Elephas maximus indicus: one gene and its partners. The protein of the gene in region 3 binds, or shares a complex with, the protein of the main gene of each other region. Links are inferred from orthologs where the notes say so. Each region holds a gene or a part of one and is shown on either strand. Other genes may lie near its edges. The genes, in order: BMP2, BMP7 and NOG.

Evidence for each region.
Region 1: the proteins of NOG (region 3) and BMP2 are in contact, whole or in part, in a crystal structure (PDB 7AG0), measured with the Homo sapiens proteins. The link is inferred for Elephas maximus indicus from reciprocal best matches to the Homo sapiens genes NOG and BMP2. Residues at the interface, in NP_005441.1 of Homo sapiens: Ile33, Arg34, Pro35, Ala36, Pro37, Ser38, Asp39, Asn40, Pro42, Leu43, Val44, Asp45, Leu46, Ile47, His49, His199, Arg204, Arg206, Pro219, Ile220, Gln221, Tyr222, Pro223; in NP_001191.1 of Homo sapiens: Trp310, Asp312, Trp313, Val315, Ala316, Pro317, Pro318, Gly319, Tyr320, Ala368, Ile369, Ser370, Met371, Leu372, Tyr373, Lys379, Val380, Val381, Leu382, Lys383, Asn384, Tyr385, Gln386, Met388.
Region 2: the proteins of NOG (region 3) and BMP7 are in contact, whole or in part, in a crystal structure (PDB 1M4U), measured with the Homo sapiens proteins. The link is inferred for Elephas maximus indicus from reciprocal best matches to the Homo sapiens genes NOG and BMP7. Residues at the interface, in NP_005441.1 of Homo sapiens: His29, Tyr30, Leu31, His32, Ile33, Arg34, Pro35, Ala36; in NP_001710.1 of Homo sapiens: Phe365, Pro366, Leu367, Asn368, Ser369, Asn375, Ile378, Val379.

What each region holds. Positions count from the first base shown.
Region 1 is NC_064843.1:45,258,359-45,265,479, reverse strand, and holds the start of BMP2 (bone morphogenetic protein 2), read right to left. Parts: upstream 3,051-7,121; 5' UTR 2,379-3,050; coding exon 2,275-2,378; intron 2,164-2,274; coding exon 1,814-2,163; intron 1-1,813. Other genes in the region: serine/arginine repetitive matrix protein 3-like, read right to left, coding at 3,921-4,829. UniProt on the Homo sapiens protein: Growth factor of the TGF-beta superfamily that plays essential roles in many developmental processes, including cardiogenesis, neurogenesis, and osteogenesis. Induces cartilage and bone formation.
Region 2 is NC_064843.1:11,987,593-11,994,578, reverse strand, and holds the start of BMP7 (bone morphogenetic protein 7), read right to left. Parts: upstream 3,055-6,986; 5' UTR 2,546-3,054; coding exon 2,128-2,545; intron 1-2,127. UniProt on the Homo sapiens protein: Growth factor of the TGF-beta superfamily that plays important role in various biological processes, including embryogenesis, hematopoiesis, neurogenesis and skeletal morphogenesis.
Region 3 is NC_064837.1:37,473,506-37,478,907, reverse strand, and holds NOG (noggin), read left to right. Parts: upstream 1-3,986; 5' UTR 3,987-4,113; coding exon 4,114-4,812; 3' UTR 4,813-4,888; downstream 4,889-5,402. UniProt on the Homo sapiens protein: Inhibitor of bone morphogenetic proteins (BMP) signaling which is required for growth and patterning of the neural tube and somite. Essential for cartilage morphogenesis and joint formation.

The DNA of each region.
Region 1 (7,121 bases), on a different chromosome or scaffold from region 3:
AAACGATTTTCCTTTTCCATTATAAGAGGCACACAGAACCTTTCTGGTCTTAAAGATAACGATAAGAAATTTCGGTTTAAGATTTCCATGTTAAATTTCCAGGAAGCAGCTCAACAGCTATTCTTGTTACTTTCCTCTCCAGAAAAAACTCTTCTGATCAGCATCAGCTAGGAAAGATGACTGGATCTATAACAATCCTAGGGCAAGGGTGACAGAACATACACAAATGACAACATTTCTGCACGTGCCAGACTTCTGCTCTCAGTTGGTGAAATGATGAGATCTCATTGCTTTGCAAATCTCTGATTTCTGCTAGCAGAAAGCGCGTCACTTCAAAATGTGTTTGGAAATGAACTGATCATCAACACAGCTGCTTCCTAGAGGGGAGTCCCTGGGTGGTGCACACATTGTGCTCTACTGCTGACCGCAAGGTTGGAGGTTCAAGTCCACCCAGCAACAACTCGGAAGAGAGTTCTGCTGACCTACTTCTGAAAAATTCAGCCATTAAAAACTCCACGGAGCACAGTTCTACGGTGACACACAAGAGGTCACCGTGAGCTGACACTGACTCAATGACAACTGTGCCTTTTTAATGTACAGATGCCTCTACGAAGAAGGAACTTTGTTCTCTGACCTGCCTTTGGGGCTTTTTACCACTGTCCGGAGTATAAGTCATAACTCACGAGGGGAGAAAATGTCTGCCTGTGACATTTCTGATTTGTTTGTATCTGAGTGTAGATTTCCACTTGAAATATACCTCCTCGGTAGGACAAGGTAAGAAAAGGGGAACTTTATTCCCAGCTCCCCCAATATCCTACAAGTGGTTGCTCTGGGATATACAACTCCGTACCCTTTTCTAAAATTTGAAGGAATCCGTGCTCTATTTAGAATTTATCAAACCAGAGAGGCATTTAAAAGTATGGAAAAAGAATTTTTGACTAATTGCCCTAAGAACTTAAGTACGACAACTCTCAATAACTGCTCTAAGACATTTCAGATCCTCTAAATGCCTTTCTGAGGAAAGGTGCAGAAATACCTACCTTAACAAACCACATTCATAATAAAAGGGGAAAAAAAAGGCCACATTTCAATACACACGAAGGAGAACAGGCAGCTGCTGCAAAAGCTTTTATCTGAAAGGCTTGCCTTTCTCTACCCTGAGCCTACCTCCAACTGAAGCAAAAGACAAGAAAGTCATTGTGGAAACAATAAGATTGATTGTGGAATGGATCTCCCACGGGGATTAGATAGAAATTCAAAATCTTCCAAACTAGGCGCACAAAAACTGTAAATTAGAAAGACTCTGGGGCCCTGGGCTTTGATTTTTAATACCATCTCTGAAAATTCTTCCTTTGGCTCTGTCTAGCCTGAAACCCTGGCTTAAACAGGAGAAGCAGACTGATAGAGCCGGGTTTCAAAACAAATTTAAATCCCAATCAGTCTCCCTCTTTTCCCCTATGGAATTCTTGCATGTTTAGCTGGCTAGGGGCAAGCCTTTTGCCCTCATCTTCCCCATCACTTGATTTCCCTCCAGTTCCTGGGGGAGGAGTCGCCCTTCTGGCTGCAATCCAGGAAAAGGGTGCGGATTTACCAAAGGGGAATCCCTGGCTCCCCTCCACACACAGTGCATTAGCAGTGCGTTAAAACTTGGATCTGAAAAGTTACAAAGTTAACAGAGGCAAGAGTGGAAACGTCTGCTGCGCCCTGGCCAAGCTGTCCCTCCAGGAATGTCTGCAGTCTGCCCTGCAGTGAGGGGCTTTGCAGGGTGACTCCCGCCCCGGTCCCCGCTCTCACCCCCTGTTCCAAGCCTCACCTTCGTGGTGGAAGCTGCGCACCGTGTTGGCGCGGCTGGCTGCCTTTTCCAGCCGCTGGTCCGGGGTGCGCGCGCCCGGCTGGCCTGAGTGCCGGCGGTACAAGTCCAGCATGTAGGGGGGCACCACGGCGTCCCTGCTGGGGGTGGGTCTCTGCTTCAGGCCGAACATACTGAGCAGCCGCAACTCGAACTCGCTCAGGACGTCGTCCGAGGGCTGGGATGAGGAACGGCCCCACGCCGCCGCGAACTTCCTGCGGGCCAGCTCAGGAATGAGGCCGGCCGCGCCGCCCAGGAGGACCTGGGGAAGCAGCAACGCTAGAAGACAGCGGGTCCCGGCCACCATGGTCGACCTGCGGACAGGACCGACGTGAGTCACCGAGTTCCCCGCCCAACCCTCTCCCTCACTCCCGCTGCCCTGGCTCCCCGCTCGACCCGGCTGCCTCTTTCTCCAGGGTGCCCACCTGGCTTGCAACACTCGCCGGGCTTTGTCAGAGGGGCTGAAGCGCGGACGTTTGAGGGAATGGAGCGTCCCTAGTTCCTGAGCCAGATGCCTTACTCCTCCCATTCCACTCTCAATCCAGCTGTCATCTGATTTGAGATTTTGCTCCCCTCTTTATGGCGACACCCGCATTGACAGCCGGCACAGGGAACCTGAGGAAACCACCCCTTGGTCTGCCACCCTGTACCTACTAAACGATCCCAAACACAGCCCAGCGCTCGCTTGCTTATAAACACGAACAAATGCTGCATGTGACTTCCTTAGAGGCACTGTATACAACTTCCTGATACACAGTCTATAACTTCTAGACCCTGTACATTCAAGGCCAAGACTTTCGAACGCCGCTTGAAACTTATGGCCCACGCCCCTAGCCTCAGGGTGTCAGGACAAACGACCTCAAGCCCCGCACACCCTTAGTGCAGTCAAGACACACAGGCCATCTCCCTGGGATTACGTAAAGGGCTAATATCTATTACTTCACGTGTCAGATGTTGAAAATGCAGTACAAGGAGGCACCGAAGTACTGCCCCCCTCGCTTTCCGGAAAGAAACAGGGAGAACCCCCAGCTTCCACTGCTTTCCTAAATGGGACGTGGCTCCCAGTAGAGAGATCTCTCGGAAAAACTTGGAGAAGGGAGAAGGAATCATCATGGCAGGGCGTACAGGTTGGCAGCTAACGGGTGAAACCCAGGGGCCAGTCTAAGGGATTTCTTTTCTTTCTTTTTTTTTTTTAATCATCTTAGCGTTAACAGCCCTAATTATACACCGAACAGAAAGGAGAAACGAGGGGCGGAAGAGAGCGGGTCACGCAGGCAACGCTGGATGGTCGCCAGAAGCGGTTGGATTGGAGCACCCCCGGCAGGGGTTCGGCTGCACGTGGACCTGAAGGGGGTCTGTTTATGTCCGGTCTAGTCCGGCCTGGGGAGGCGCTCAGCCGCGGCGGCCCCGCGCCCAGCCCCGCGCCCACCCCCCGTCCTCCGCCCGGGACCGCGTCCTCTACCTTTAGGAGACCGCAGACCGTCTAAGAAGCACGCGGGGGCACGTCCATTGAAAGAGCCTCCACATGGAAAAAACTCTGGCCAAAGAACCTGGCGCGGGGGTCGGGTGTCCGCTCCCTTCCTTTGCCTCCTCCTCCCGGGCGCCGGCCGGTCAGTCTCCCTCCCCGCGCTGGGAACGGCGTCTAGAGGTCCGGCCCGGCAGAAGAGTGGAGCGGCGGCGGGGCTCGGAGGCGACAAGGCCGTCCCCGCTGGGGCAGAGGCACCGGCGAAGTGGGGAGCGCAAATTATTCTGCCTGCAAGTTCAAGAAGTCTCCAGCCAAGTGCTGACACACAACAACAGCGAGCAGGGGGAGGAGTGCGGGGCAAGGAAGGGAAGGGAGAAGTGAAAAGCTGGTGCTGTTGTCGTCCTTAGGAATCAGCGCCCGCAGGACGCGTGGCCCCGCGCGGGGCCGACTCCGGGACGCGGGGGAGGAGTGTCGGGCGCTCCTCGCTAGCTCCGCCGCGGCCCATGACTCGGGGCAGCCATCCTGGTCGACGCCGGGTCCGGGGAGGGGCGCAGCGGCAGCGGCGATCTCGGTGCCAGGCGAGTTGCCCCCCCGCATCACTCTGCCTTACTCCAGCGCACCCCCATTCACGCTCGCCCGCTGAAAACACCACGGCTCCGGCGCCCCGTCGTCCTCGGGCGCATTCTCCGGCGAATCGAGCAGAGTCCCGGGCTGCCGAGGCGGGTGGCTGCGCTCTTTTCTCGCTCTCCTAGCCCCCCGGGCCAAGCTGCCTTGCGCTTTGTGGCCAGCCTGGGGTCTGATCACACCTCGGCCGGCGAGTCCCGGGCCCCCGAACCCCGGCGGGCAGTGCTCGGCATCGCGGCGCTCGAGCTCCGCTCCTGGCTCCCCAGCCTTCTGCGCGCCCGTCCGCGGCTCCGGTGCGGCCCGGACAGCCGAGGCCACGGCACTGTAGCGCGCACGGCCGGGCGCTCCAGCCCGCGCGGGCTCTGCGGCGCGGGGATGCCTCCGAGCACCCAGTGATCCTCGCGGCGCACGTCCCCGAAGGCGTTCGGATCGGCTGCGGCGGCTGATGTCCGGCGGTGGCGGCCAATCCCCGGCGGGGTGTGGGAAGCCGAGCGGCGGGCGCAGCGCGAGCCGGGCGCAGCGCGGCGCGGCTGGGCGAGGACTCCGGCGGCGGCGGCGGCGGCGGCGGCGCCGTGGCGCGGCGCTCGCGGCTTTTAAAGGACGCCGCCTGCCGGCTCCCTCCGGGCCGCGGCCGAACACCTCCCCCCTCGGCTGCGCTGGCTGGGGATCCCCGAGCGGGCGGGAGCAGCGCACAGGGGTGTGGACGGCGCGCCGGGGCAGCCGCGGCGGGGTGGGGCCGAGGGCGGAGGCAGCGCGGCCGCCGAGGGGGGCGCGTGCGCCTCCACTCCCCGCCCTCAGAGGGGAAAGGAACGGGAACGCTGGGCCCTCGCGGAGACTCCGAGGGCGAAATGCTCGAGCCCCTGGTTCTCTCCCACGGGGCCCGTTATTCAACTTTAAATTTGAAGTTTTTCGGTAATAGGCGATTAAAAAAACAACAGCAACAACCAAAACTCAGCCAAGTTACAGGGCATCTTGGCATAGGCATGGCATAGACACTTCAGTGTTGCCTGGGAGTGAGCGAGCGTGTGTGTGTGTGTGTGTGTGTGTGTCTGTGTGTGTTTGTGGGGGAGGGGAGAGGCTGGAAACTGTTATTTAAACCTTAACACGCACGGAAATATATGTATTTACATATGTAAATGTGTGCGTACACGTTTTATTTTATATAAACATTTATATTTATATAAATGTACACCTCTTTATATTCGTATAGGTATGCAAAATATAGATACATGCCCATATGCTTATATATATTCTAATATGTAAACATACGCAAAAGCGGCGTTTCTATAAATTAGTCTATGTATGTGAAATGGGTGTCACCCTGCTATATATGACAAGTGCAACTTGGGCTGTGTGTATGGCGGCTTGAAGAGCGGATGAGAAGGATTTTATTTCTTTTTTATGGTAGCAATCACTTCGTGCTGCGATATTTATCTCGCCCAGCTCAGGGGCCAGCAATTAGAAGCTCAGAGGACAGTAGAATGATGCACAGCGTGAACTAGGCATACAAGACAATTCCGATTTGAGATCTTAGAACCTTCTGCCCCAACATCCCTTCCTCCTCGTCCCCAACAGTCACTTGTCCTCTTCAGCTCAAATATCGCCCAAAAGCAGCTGCTACTTGAGTCTAGGGCCGAGGCTTTAGGTTCCTGCCAGGATTCCAGCACACACGGGTAGCACCACGGATTCCCCAAATGACCCTTGAAGCCAAGGGCCAGAAAATTCTGAAAAAAGGCCTGATCTCCAAAATCAGGTTCATTTACAAGGTAGTCTTCCTGCCTTCCAGCAGAAAGACCAGAGAGAAGTCAGGTGCGGGATCTAAGAGTAATCTGTTATCCATGCGTGTTTTTTTTTTTTTTTTGGTTAGGAAACTAAAATAATTCTAGGTTCCGCTCACATAAATCGGATTAGCAACCCACAGAGGGGGAATTAGGCACTCGTTGTTTCTGAAGGTATAAAGGTCAAGTAAGGTATTTTGGAGGAAGTCGGTTTACTAGGAAAAAAAAAAAAAGAAAAAGAAAAGGGGTGCAAAATATTCAGGAACAAGCTACTTGAAAATAAAGAACTAAAGAAGTTGACTGTCCGCCTGAATCATTTGGAGGTTAAACAAGTAGGCAATAAATTATATTGTACTCAGGGACGCTTAAGTCAAAAAGTGTTTATTGTACTTCTAAAACTATTTCCTTCCCTATTTTTTTTATCAAGCTTAACTGAGAAGTTAACAATTGTTCCTGTCATCAGTGAGATTTAAAAAACAAAACGTATATGAGACTTAGATCAGTACATAGTTTTTAAAGAGTAAAGGAAAGCTGATAGCTGTTGGAAGCACCCCAAGAGAAAAAGAAAAATAAATCTCTGGCGATGACATCGGGATGTCTTGCAGCTTTAGGCCTTTATAGCATCAGAAATGGAAACTTTGTTTACAGAATAATCCTCCATAGTCAAGAATCTGAGGTAAAATTGGCACTTCTGAATACTCTATTCCATTTTAGTATTGCCCATCGCAGGATCTCTTTTTACGAGGCAGGCTGCTGAATGCCTTTGTCCTAGCACAGCTCCCTAAATTTCTCCTAAGAGTAAGGCTCTATTTGTTTTTTAGAGATGGCTGCCCTCTTGTGGTGGAAATGAGTCAGAGCGCTTGGGTGAAAGAAATCAATGAATGAATGAATGAATGAATGGTCTCCAAAGACTGACTTGCAGTGCAATGTACAGGATGACCATACCTACCAGTTTTCCTATTCGAGGACACAACAATACTTAAAAACGACGAATCTAGTTGGAGATATCTACCTGTTTTATTCTGTTTATTTAGTAGCCACCCTCCACCTGCAACTCAGAATACTGTCATTTTGTGGTGACTGTTTGCTTTGAAAATATCACTTCAGCTAAGAAGGTAAGATTCATTCTATCTAGGTTTATCAGATTCTGTGTATCTGTAGCAGATAGAGGTTGTAGAGGTTGGGACTGGGGTAGAAGTGATTTATTACTGTAGTTGTTGTTAGGTGCCAAGCAGTCGATTCTGACTCATAGCAATGTACAACAGAATGAAACACTGCCCGGTCCTGCACCATCCTCACAATCGTTGCTATATTTGATCCTATTGCTTCATCCACTGTGTCAACCCATCTCCTTGTGGTCTTCCTCTTTTTCACTGACCCTCTACTTTAACAAGCATAATGTCCT
Region 2 (6,986 bases), on a different chromosome or scaffold from region 3:
AAGCTAGACCTGAGAAATTTAGGCAAGGCTGTCCCACAAAGCCCAAAGCCAGCCCAGCTGATTGAGAGGCTCAGACAAGCCGGTCTTTGTCCTTTCAAGATGAAAGAAATGGGACTAGCGGGGTTGAAAGGTGTGTGCACAGCCAGAAGGAAAACCACCCAGCTGTGGCCTTCCCAGGCGAGTCCTGGCTTGCTCCCACCACCCACGGGAGCAAACAGCCCTGCCCCCAGTTCCCAAAGGCATCCAGTGAGCAAACCGCTCCTCCCCTGGGGTGGGGGGGCCCCAGGATCTGGCCGAGTTGCCAGTCACTAAGCATTAGAGCTTTTTGCATGGGTTTGCAGAGCCCTCTACAGAAGCCAGGGCTCCCAAATGCCTTTGTAATGACCCCGGCTGATCTCTGAAGGCGGCAGCTGGGACCTGCAGCATTGGGAGTCCCGGATACCCAACCCAACAGCAGATGCCATAAATCCCAGCCAGAGAGAAGGCCCTGGTTAACCCGGGAATCAGTACTGCTATAGAGTGCCACTTCCGTTTATTCTTATTTTTAGAATTGTTTTTTAGTTTTTGGTACAGACAATAAACACACACGGCAAGAAAAAAGTCACAGGCAAAAGTGAGGACATTGAAAAACCCGACTCCCCCCCTTATGTCCCAGTCCCAGTTCTGCCCCTCCCCTCCCCCCCCCCCCCCGTAAAATTTATTTCCAGTTCACGGAGTCTTCTGCTAGAACATGGACGATATACAAACATGTATGTAGGCTCACTGATCTGGACCTGGCTTGTTTCCACCCCGTACATCTTAGAGATTGTTCCAATCAGGGCATAAGGAGCTGCCTCGTTCTCAACAGGCTGCCTCGTATAACTTCAACTTTTTAAATGTTATTTTGCCATCTAAACCTCCCACTCCTTGCTCGCTGAAGCGCATTTCGCTATGTGAGTTGGGCTATCATTTAGGGTGGACAATGGCGTCCCCTGGACTCCGCCGACCTTATCAGAGGCGGGAAGCCCTCACGCGGATCCCCACTTCCCCGCCCCCGTCCACTCCCCAGGTGGCCGGCGTGGGGATTTAGGGTCATTATTTCCAAGTTGACACTGCGCCGGTGGGCGGAAGTTTGCTGTCTTGACTCTGCTCGGATTTTCCCTGCAAGTTACACAGGTAGAATGAAAGCGGCTCAGGAAACAGCGCTATCGGGCTGTGTTATCTCGGAAACCAAATATTTGATCATCGGTCCTACAGCGCGCGGCCCGGGATTAGTCTGAGCGAGTTTGGTAATCATGCGGGGATGCCATGGAGGGCGCCGCGGGGCACCGCCGCAGCCCCACCTCGTTCCCCGGACAGGAGAGGCTTCATCGGGAGCCCTGTCCCCCCGCCGCCCCCAGCGGCGTCTGTTCCGAGATCCCGCGCCGCCCAATCGCCAAAACCGGTGGTTTGAGCGCCACACGTGATAAACGCTGAAAATGGATTCTGCCTGCCCGGGACCTATCATTAAATATTTAAAATAGAAAGTTCGCAATGGCAACGTTTCTTCCCTGGCTCCGGCAGGAAGACCAAGAGAGGGGGGCGCCGGCGGCGGGGAGAGGCCCCCAGGCTCCCCAGGCGCGCGGCACGGGAAGGCGGGCGCACCGCGAAGGGACAGGTAGGGCTTGCCAGAGCGGGGAACGGGTCGCGCTGCACCGGAGGCCAGGGCCAGGCAGGGTGCGCGGGGCCGAGGGCGGGCGGGAAGGCAGCTTCTCCAAGAAGGGCCCTTTAAATCCAGGTAGCGAGCGCCGAGCCGGCCAGGGACAGCTCACATGACCGAGCCCCGCGCTTTGAACTCAGCCGCGACCAGGGCCGGCGCCTGCTGCCCCAGAGGTGCGTCCGGCGGCGTAACCAGAAGGGGGCTTCGGGCGGGTCTCTACACTTTCAATAACATCCACAGGCCAGCTGAGCCTGCCTCACACTACCTGGGGGCGAGCACAGTTTGGGCTCCACTAGGGCCGGAGGTAGAAGACTCTCAGCCAGGCACTGACCGCTGTGAAACCCGCCGAGCGGAAAGGTGGGAGGCTAGATGTAAAAAGTCACCCCCCTCCCTGTTGCAAGGCGCCCCCCAGCCGAGGCGTGCTCCCCCTTCCTCCTGCCCGCACTCACCGAGGTTGACGAAGCTCATGACCATGTCGGCGTCAGTAAGGAAGTGGCTATCTTGCAGGCTGGCCAGAGGGGGGCCCTGGGTGCTGAAGACTGCCTTGTAGGGGTAGGAGAAACCCTGGCTGTCGGACCCGCCGCCCTCCTCCACCGCCATGGCATTGTACAGGTCCAACATGAACATGGGCGCCGAGTTGTGCTTGCCCTGGAGGTGGGGGCGCGGGCGGTGGGGCAAGCCCAAGATGGAGAGGATCTCGCGCTGCATCTCCCGCCGCTCCTGGCTGCGGAGGCGCCGGTGGATGAAGCTCGAGTGCACCTCGTTGTCCAGGCTGAAGTCGGCCAGGGCGGCGCGCAGCAGGAGCAGGGGCACCCAGAGCGCCACGAAGCTGGAGGGCGCCGCGGCGCGCAGCGAGCGCACGTGCATCGCGCCGGCTCTCCGCGCGGCCAGGGCACTGGGCTCCGGGCACCTGGGCCCGCGCCGCCCCAGGTGGCGGAGGGGGGCAGCGGCGTCCACGACGCTCAGTCACTTGCTGCAGATGGGCCCCGCTGCACCCGCGCCGGACATGGCCCCTCCCCGGCCGGCTGTGCGCTGCCCGGACCCCCACCCCGACTCGGGCTGGCTCCGGGGCCCCTAGCCCTGCACTCGCTTGGGCGCACGGCGGGGCTTGGAGACCCGCTCCAGCGAGCGAGGAGCCTGGCGCGGGTGGGAGGAGCAGCCGCAAACCTCCGAGCCTGGAGAGCGAGCGCTGGGGAGGCGGCGGGCGGGCGCTCCTTCCTCCCACTCCTTTCGAGAGCGCTCTCCAATCCGGCGACAGCGACCCACCCGCTTTCGACCTCCGGCGCCGAGAGCAGGGCCCCAGGATCTCTCTCCCCGCCCTGCGCGCCCCTGATCGCACGAGAAGACGCCTCGGGAGCCCCAGAGCGAACGCGCTGGGGCCTGGGAGGAGGAGGAGGAGGAGGAGGGCGGGCTTCCAGGGGCCCCTCCCGCGCCGGCGGCCTCCCACCTGCCTCGGCCCCGCCCTCCCCCCTGCTGCGCCCAATGGATTCATTCAACCCTTCCAGCGCGCTCGACAAATATTGACCAAGTGCCCACAGGGTGCCCAGCGCCAGGCCAGACGCCGCCGGCCTGGGGAGGAAAGACGCCCACCCGGCCCTGCCCTCTCGGGGCTCGTAGTCCGAACAGGGAAGGAGACCTCAGCCGGACCCAAGGATCTGGGCAGCGGGGGCAGAAGCTGAGCGGCGGGAGGGGCGTGGAGGAAGCGCGGGAATCGGAGAGGACTTCTCAGAGGAGGTGCCCCTGAGCCCGACTCGTCCGTTTGCCCCCCTCCGACACACTCGCTGGCTTTCCTCACTCCAACCACGCGGACCCGCCGCACCCCCCCAGACTTGTCCACAGCTTAACTTTGGCCACCTGAAACTCCCCCTGACCCTCGCCCCCGCCCTCTGTAAGGACAAATAAATACAAACTGAAAATAGGAGGTTTTCATTCTCTGCAGAAGACAGGGGACCAGGCTCCCCTGTTCTTGCAGAATTCACTTTAGATAACTCGTAATGGTTGGATCTTTGTCTTTCCGAAAAGTATGTAAATCAAATAAGTTTCTCTAGGGGGAGAGCAATTAGGAGTACATAGCAAGGTGTATATAAATTTTTGTATGAGAGACTGACTTGATTTGTAAACTTTCACTTAAAGCACAATTAAAAATTAAAAAAAAAAAATGTTTCTCAAGGACCTGGGAGACATCTTTTGAAATGTAATCATCAAGGAAGTTCACACCCCTCCCTCCCAGTTTCCTGGAAGGAGATTAACATAACTTTAGGTGTCCTGCCACGAAGACACTGGAAAATTAGCAATTTTATCTTTAACGTGAATGTAATGGGCTGTATCCACTCAGTTCTCTAAAGCCTCGGATTCCTTTGTCTTGGCAATTTCTCTCCTGGACTGATTGCCTGTGATGCATCCCATTTGGGTTCAGTGCTTATTCAAGAATAAAACTCTTCTGTCTCTTCCATTGTTGTGCAGAGGCTTTCTAAGTTGAGAGCAGGTTTTGTTTTTAGAAACTCTTCCCCAACACCAATGCCCTCAGTCTCTCCCCAGGTAGAAGACTCTCCACCACCAGGTCCCTATTCAGCGGCCACTGCCTCCCAGAGACCTTCCCAAGCCAGCAAAGCTAAGGCTGCCTCCCTCCTCACCCCCACGCACTCGTTTTATTTTCTTGAGCTCTCTGGCTGTCTGGAATTACTGTTGCAGTTTACCTCACCCGCCCGCTACTCTGCCTCTGTCCTTCTCCTGCCTCTCACTCTTCCTTCCACAAATATTACTAAGCTGCCCATGGTGTGCCCGGCTGACCGCTGCCCCCAGACCACTACAGCCTACGGGTCCCCTCTGCCAGCTGAGGGAACTTCAGTGATCACTACACTTTGGAGCCTCGGTTTCCTTATCTTTAAAATGGGTGCAAAATAACCCCTTACTCAGAGTGGCAGTAAGGACCATGCCCCCCGCCAGGGGCTGTCCCAGTGGCAGTGAGGACCATGCCCCCCCCCAAGGGCTGTCCCAAGGAGGCCAACAAACAAACCACTGATTCCCATACAAGGGTAGGTGGAGGGTCACCAGGGAACCCAGACAAAGTTTAGGCTGAGTTTGGGGAAGGAGGCTTCTGCTAGGGGCCTAGCTGACCCCCCTGAAGGGCTGGAGAAAGCCACCAGGCTGGTCCTTCCTGAGGCAGGAGGGCTGGTGAGAGACACTCCCAGGAGCCAGGTTTTCTCCAGTTCTCCTGAGCAGAGCAGATCTGCCATGCAGCCCTCTGGGTCTCTGGGGGCTTTTGGACAAGATGGCAGCCTAAGGGGTCACATGGGTGGAGAGAGGAGAGGCCCAGCCAGGAGAAGAGATATGCAAGCCTGCAGATCTGTGGGACAAAGAACTTCATTTGGCTTTTTGCCTCTGGTTTTTTAAAATAACCTGAGTAACAAAGGTGCCCTTTGTCCTTCTGAAACAGCCAGGCCAAACTTAAATAAGTATATATAAATAGGGGGCTACACAGGTCACCCCTTGACTGCAAGTGTATTCATGGATTGGCTCTACCCTAACTCTGCATTAAGACTCCTTAGAAACTAGAATGGCAGGGTCTGATTGGTCTCACTTACTTCGGACGTGTTATCAGGAGGGACCACCACCAGGAAGAGGACCTCATGCTTGGTGTTTCATTTTACTTGGATCCACAGTCAACGCCCACGGAAGCAGCAGTCAAGAAATCAAATGACATATTGCATTGGGCAAATCTGCTGCAAACGGCCTCTTCAAAGTGTTAAAAAAGCACAGATGTCACTTTGAGGACTAAGGTGCGTCTGACCCAAGCCATGATATTTTCAATCGCCTCATACGCATGCAAAAGCTGAACAATGAATAAGGAAGACGGAAGAAGAACGGAAGCCTTTGAATTATGATGTTGGCAAAGAATATTGAATATACCATGGACTGCGAAAAGAACAAACAAGTCTGTCTTGGAAGAAGTATAGCCAAAGTGCTCTCAGAAGTGAAGATGGCAAGACTTCATCTCACATACTTTGAACATGTTATCAGGAGGGACCAGTCCCTGGAGACGGACATGGTGCTTGGTAAAGTCAGTGAAAAGAAGGAAGACCCTCCAGGAGATGGGTTGACACAGTGGCTACAACGGTGGGCTCAAACAGAACGATTATGAGGACAGTGCAGGACCAGGCAGCATTTCGCTCTGTGGTACATGGGGTCACTGTGAGTCAGAACCAACTTGACGGGACCTACAACACATCAAGGCTCCAGTCATGCATATTCACTGAGATCCCAATGACTAGGGGACTCTGGTCCTTCCAGTGCTCTCTTTGGGGCTTTTGGGATTGGTAAGAGCATCCCCGCAGGGGAGAGGGCACAGCACGTCCATGGGGACAATAGAGCCTCCAGCCCACGCCTCGCCCAGACCTTGCCTGATACATCGCAACGCTTTGTAGCCTTTCTCACTATGATAAAGGGGTAACTGTAAGTACAGGTAATAGTTTCTTCGAGTCATTCTAGGGAATTATCAAACCCACTGCGGACAGTGAGAGCCAGCAGAGAGGCTGGCGTTTGCCTATTTGGCAAGGGCTGGATGGACAGAGTTCTAACTTGTGGAGACCCCCTTCTGGGTGGTTACAGTCTGAAAGTGCCATGTGGGTGGCTGGTGGCCAAAGAATGAAGTGGGAGGTGGAGATATGAGTTATCTCCACATCTTGGAAATTTGCCTTAGATCGGCTATTATTCACCAAAGGTCCTAGTCATTCATGTGGACACCAGCCGGCCAGACGGCCACTACCACAGAGGCCAGGTCCTGGGCCCCTCCCCGGGCTGGGCCTCTGCCCACTGGCCAGTATCCACTCACTCCTTCAGTGTGTGTTGGGTGCTTCCTGAGTGTCAGGTGGGGGCGGCTCCACAGGGTGGCCACCTGTGAACCATACAATTAGTTTAATGCTGTTGCGTGACATTCCTGATCATCTATGAACAAGGGGTCCCTCATTTTCATTTTGCATGAACCCCTCAAATTATGTGGCCATCCTGGTGTCAGGGACAGCATTGGACCCAGGCATAGAGCCGTGAGTGGGCCAGGAAGTGGTCCCCATCAAGAAGATGGCTTTCAGGTGAGGGGACAGACCAGGAACCTTCATTAAGGCTTGGAGTGAGAGGAGAGGCAGACAGGCCCCACGAGGAAGTCAGAGGAGTACTGATGGCGGAAAAAACTAAATGACCCAGATGTCATTGACCTGAGTGAGGGACAGGCATTCCAGGCAGAGGGACCAGCCAGTGCACAGGGCCTGTGGAGCAGGGAGCAAAAACATGGCTCCATCCCCCGGGTCCTACC
Region 3 (5,402 bases):
ATGCCGTTAAGTCAATTCCCACTCATAGTGACCCCATGCAATAGAGTACAATTGCCCCATAGGGTTTCCTAGGCTGTAATCTTTATGGAACATCATGGTAAACAGTGAAAATATTGAAGTTGCCATGGATTTCATTTTACTTGAATCCACAATCAACACCCGTGGATGCTGCAGTCAAGAAATCAAAAGACATACTACGTTGGGCAAATCTGCTGCAAAAGGCCTCTTTAAAGTTTTAAAAAGCAAAGATGTCACTTGAAGGACTAAGATGCACCTAACCCAAGCCATGGTATTTTGAAGCATCTCGTATGAACATGAAAGCTGGACAATGAATAAGGAAGACCGAAGAAGAACTGATGCCTTTGAATTGTGGTGTTGGTGAAGAATATTGAATATACCATGGACTGCCAGAAGAACAAAAAAAATCTGTCCTGGAGGAAGTACAGCCAGAATGCTCTTCAGACATGAGGTTGGAGAGACCTTGTCTCACATACTCTGGACATGTTATTAGGAGGGATCAGTCACTGGAGAAGGACATCATGCTTGGTAAAGGAAAGGATCAGCAAGAAAGAGGAAGACCCTCGATGGACTGACACAGTAGTTCCAACAATGGACTCAAGCATAGCAATGACTGTAGGCTGGCATATGACCTGGTAGTGTTTTCCTCTGTTGTACATAGGGTCTCTATGAGTCAGAACTGTCTCGATGGCACCTAACAAAAACAATAATCTTTATGGGAACAGATGGCCAAGTCTTTTCTCCTGCGGAGCTACCAGCGGGTTTGAAATGCCAGCCTCTCGGTTAGCAGCTGAGCACTTAACCGTTTGCACCGCCAGGGCTCCTTTCAGTCGAGACTACCCAGCCTAAATAAAGGACAGAGGTCTGGGTTGATTTTCAAACAAAAATAGGTGATTTGAAGAAGACGAAGATTGGTAGAATAGAAAACAGCACAGTTTATGCGCTGGGCTAAAATATAGTCTTTGAACTCTTCACTGAAAAATTATTTTTTTAATTTATAGCATCAATATCTTCATAAGAAATCAAAATAGTGCTAAGCATCCATTTAAAACAAACAAATTCATTGCTGTCAAGTGAATTCCAACTCATAGCGACCCTTTATGACAAAGCAGAACTGCCTCCTAGGGTTTCCAAGGAGAGGTGGATTCAAACTGCCACCTTTCGGTTAGCACCTGAAGCTCTTACCCACTGCACCACCAGGACTCCAAGCCTCCATAAAGTGCATGGAAAATAAAGGAGTGTCGTTCAAGCAACCTACTATGTGCCAGGATCCAGGCACATATTATTTCATAATCAGCCCAATTCAAACAACGAATGGGTCGTTCTTATCTACAGTATTCATCAAAGCAAGATTTTCTTTTTGGGTGGTAGGTACCTCGGTAGCCTAAATCTAGTTGTTGTCTAGACTTGAAAGTTTAAGGAAGTGTTCTTGCTGAGGGATTTCCAAGTACTGGGATTTTGCATATAGACTGTGCCATAACCCAAGTACATCTTCTTCATTGTTGTCAGCTGTCACTGAGTTGGCCTTGGGCTCAAGGGGACCCCATGCACAACGGAAGGAAACGTTGCCTGGTCACTTAGCCTTTAGTCTGGAGGCGCCACTGCAACCTGTTCAGCATCACAGCAGCCCACAAGCCGCCACTGACAGATGAGGTGCCTTGGCCAGGAATCGAACCCAGGTCTCACATGGAAGGGGAGAACCTCCCGCTGAACCACAGACACCACTTCCTTAGGAGATGGTAAAGTTCTGTGTGTATTTGAGGGGAGGGCAGAGCAGACTGAAAGGAAAAATCAGATCACTGGAGAAAGAAAGTGGAGTAATGTAGACTGTCACAAAGGGATCTCCTGAGTCTCACTCAGCCGAATAGTAGTGGATGCCTGAGTCATTCACTCCAAGTCTCTTCAAGGGCTTTTTCCAATTCTGATCCACAAAGGAGTTTGGATTTCAGAGAGAAACTCAACCAGAGGTGTCATTTCAGCACCCATCTTCCACCAAAGAGAACATTTCTGAAAAAGAAAGCCTCATATAGGTTTATTCAGAATCAGAGCAAGGTAGGGCTGGAAAAGGTAATGTAGCTATGTCACTAGTGCAGAAACTAAGATCTGTAGAAGAAAAGGCACCGGTCCAGGGTTAACATGGTTATGTCAGGCTGGACTCAAGCCCCCTACTGTCCGTTCATCTGTCAAGTTTCTGCTCCCCAGTCTTCACCACTGAGGCCGGTTTAGCGGAGAAAGTGGGCACCTATGCATGTGAAATTTGAAGGGCATGGAGAGGAATCTCAGGAAGTTTGTTTACACTGAGGGTTTGGAGAGAGTCCAGAGAACAGCCAGAACCTGAACGGACCCTTCGACACACGCAGACATTCAAAGACACGAGATGACACGGACACAGAAACAACGCGACCTGGGCAGAATGGGCCACGGACAAACCCACCACCTCACAGTGCCGCCCCTCCTATCACCGGGTGCAGGGCTTGCCATGGGCCAGCAGAGGGCGCGCCGCCCCCAGGGAGCCGAGAGGCTGCCGCACGGAGCCGAGCGGGCTAGGGGAGCAGCAGACAAGCCGGACGCGCCCCTACGGCTCCGCCACTCAGGGCGCAGGACCCGGCCAAGAAGGAGGAGGAGGGTGAGGAGCGGACCCCCCTCGTGGGCCCGGGGGGCAGACGAGCCGGAGTGCTTCCTAGGAATTACATCACACAGCGCAGCGCTGCGGCTCGCGGACTCTCGGGGCGCACAGTTTGTGCGGGGGGAGCGGGGGCAAGGGTGAGGGACAGAGGACCCACAGTGTGTGTGTGTGTGTGTGTGTGTGGTGTGTGTGTGTGTGTGTGTGTGTGTGTGTTGGGGGAAGGGACTGAGACCGAGCCCGGGAGAGAGGAAGACGAGACGCGCCCGGGGAAAACGCTCCATGCACATGGAGAAATCCCTTCCTCCAAACTGCACCGAGAAAGGAGCCCCCGGCACTTCCCCGCTGCTCCCCTCCCAGTGCAAAGCACCCAGCTAGTGAGCAACCCCCGCCCCACCTCAAGCACCCCCCAAAGCCGGCCCTGCACCCTCCAGCCGGGCTCCAGCGCCGCCGCGAGCTCTCCCCAGGACTGGCTCTGGCGGGGCGCCTAGAGCCCCAGTTGCATTGCTCCAGGAGAAAGGAGGGGGGCGGTGCATTTTGCAGGAGGAGAAGGAGGAGAAGGGGGGTGGGTGGTGGGGGTGAGAGAAAATTGCGCGGAGACCTGCCAAGCGCCACCGCCGCCGCCACCGCCGCCGCCGCCGCCGCCTGTGAGCTCGGGCGGGCAGCCGGACTGTCGGCTTCCCGGGGCATCTGGGTCCGGCGGGGCACAGCCCTGGGCGCTGCCGAAGCCGCCGCCGCCGCCGCCTCCGCGGCGAGTGCAGGCGGCTTCCCCGGGAGCCTGCGCTGCTCCAGCTCCTTGGGGGTGGAGAAGTGGGGGGTGGGGTTGTTGTTTGGGGGGAAGAAGGGGGAGGGGGCAACGCCGAGAGAGTCAGTGGTTTCCATGGTGATGGAGCTGAAAGTGCAGGAAATTTAAAGGCTTGGACCCTGCGAGACAGACAAACCGGTGCCAACGTGCGCGGACGCCGCCGCCGCCGTCGCCGCCGCCGCTGGAGTCCGCCGGGCAGAGCCGGCCGCGGAGCCCGGAGCAGGCGGAGGGGAGTGCCCCCGGGACCCGCTCGGCCAGCGGCGCTGCAGAGAGCGGCAGGACCAGGAGCAGGAGGAGGAGGAGGAGGGGAGACGGCTCGTCCACGCGCCTTGCGCCGCCGCCGGCCCGGGAAGGCAGCGAGGAGCCGGCGCCCCCCGCGCCCCGCGGTCTCCCTGGAGTAATTTCAGATGCCCCGCCGCGGCCGCCTTCCCGAATAGACCTGGGAGAGGAGTTGCAGCCAACTTGTGTGCCTTTTTTCTGCGCCGGTGGGAGCCGGCTCGGAGCGAAGGTCTCTCCCCGCGGCTCATGCTGCCGGCCCTGCGCCTGCCCAGCCTAGGGTGAGCCGCCTCGGGAGAGCCCGGGGAGCGCGGCGGCGGCGCCGCGGGCTCGGCGTGCTCTCCTCCGGGGACGCGGGACGAAGTAGCAGCCCCGGGCGCACGCCGGAGGCATGGAGCGCTGCCCCAGCCTGGGGGTCACCCTCTACGCCCTGGTGGTGGTCCTGGGGCTGCGGGCGGCACCGGCCGGCGGCCAGCACTACCTCCACATCCGCCCAGCTCCCAGCGACAACCTGCCCCTGGTGGACCTCATCGAACACCCGGACCCTATCTTTGACCCCAAGGAGAAGGATCTGAACGAGACGCTGCTGCGCTCGCTGCTCGGGGGCCACTACGACCCGGGCTTCATGGCCACCTCGCCCCCCGAGGACCGGCCCGGCGGGGGCGGGGGGGTGGCCGGTGGCGCCGAGGACCTGGCGGAGCTGGACCAGCTGCTGCGGCAGCGGCCGTCCGGGGCCATGCCGAGCGAGATCAAAGGGCTGGAGTTCTCCGAGGGCTTGGCCCCGGGCAAGAAGCAACGCCTAAGCAAGAAGCTGCGGAGGAAGCTACAGATGTGGCTGTGGTCGCAGACCTTCTGCCCCGTGCTGTACGCGTGGAACGACCTGGGCAGCCGCTTCTGGCCGCGCTACGTGAAGGTGGGCAGCTGCTTCAGCAAGCGCTCGTGCTCCGTGCCCGAGGGCATGGTGTGCAAGCCGTCCAAGTCTGTGCACCTCACGGTGCTGCGGTGGCGCTGTCAGCGGCGCGGGGGCCAGCGATGCGGCTGGATTCCCATCCAGTACCCCATCATTTCCGAGTGCAAGTGCTCGTGCTAGAACTCGGGGGCCCCCTGCCCGCACCCAGACACTTGATTGACCCCCACCGACGCCCCCAGCCACCGCCTCCAACCAGTTCCACCACCCTTGAGAGTGGATTCAATGAACTTTTTTTTTTTTTTTTTTTTGGCTACAGAGACCTAGCTTTCTGGTTCATGTAATGCACTGTTTAACTGTGTAGGAATGTATATGTGTGTGTATATACGGTCCCAGTTTTAATTTACTTATTAAAAGGTCAGTATTATACGTTAAAGTTACCGGCTTCTACTGTATTTTTTAAAAAATAAGCAAAAGAAAAAAAAAGAACAGATAAAAGAGAGACTTATTCTGGTTGTTGCTAATAATGTTAACCTGCTATTTATATTCCAGTGCCCTTCGCATGGCGAAGCAGGGGGGAAAAGTTATTTTTTTCTTAAAGTACAAAGAGAGAGGGGAACTTTTGTAGAAGGACTTTTTAAAAGCTATTTTCCATTCTTTGGAAAGTGTTCTGGTTTTCCTTGGACCTCGAAGAAGCTATAGAGTTCAATGTTATTTTACAGTTATTGTAAATATAGAGAACAAATGGAATGACTAATCATTGTAAATTAAGA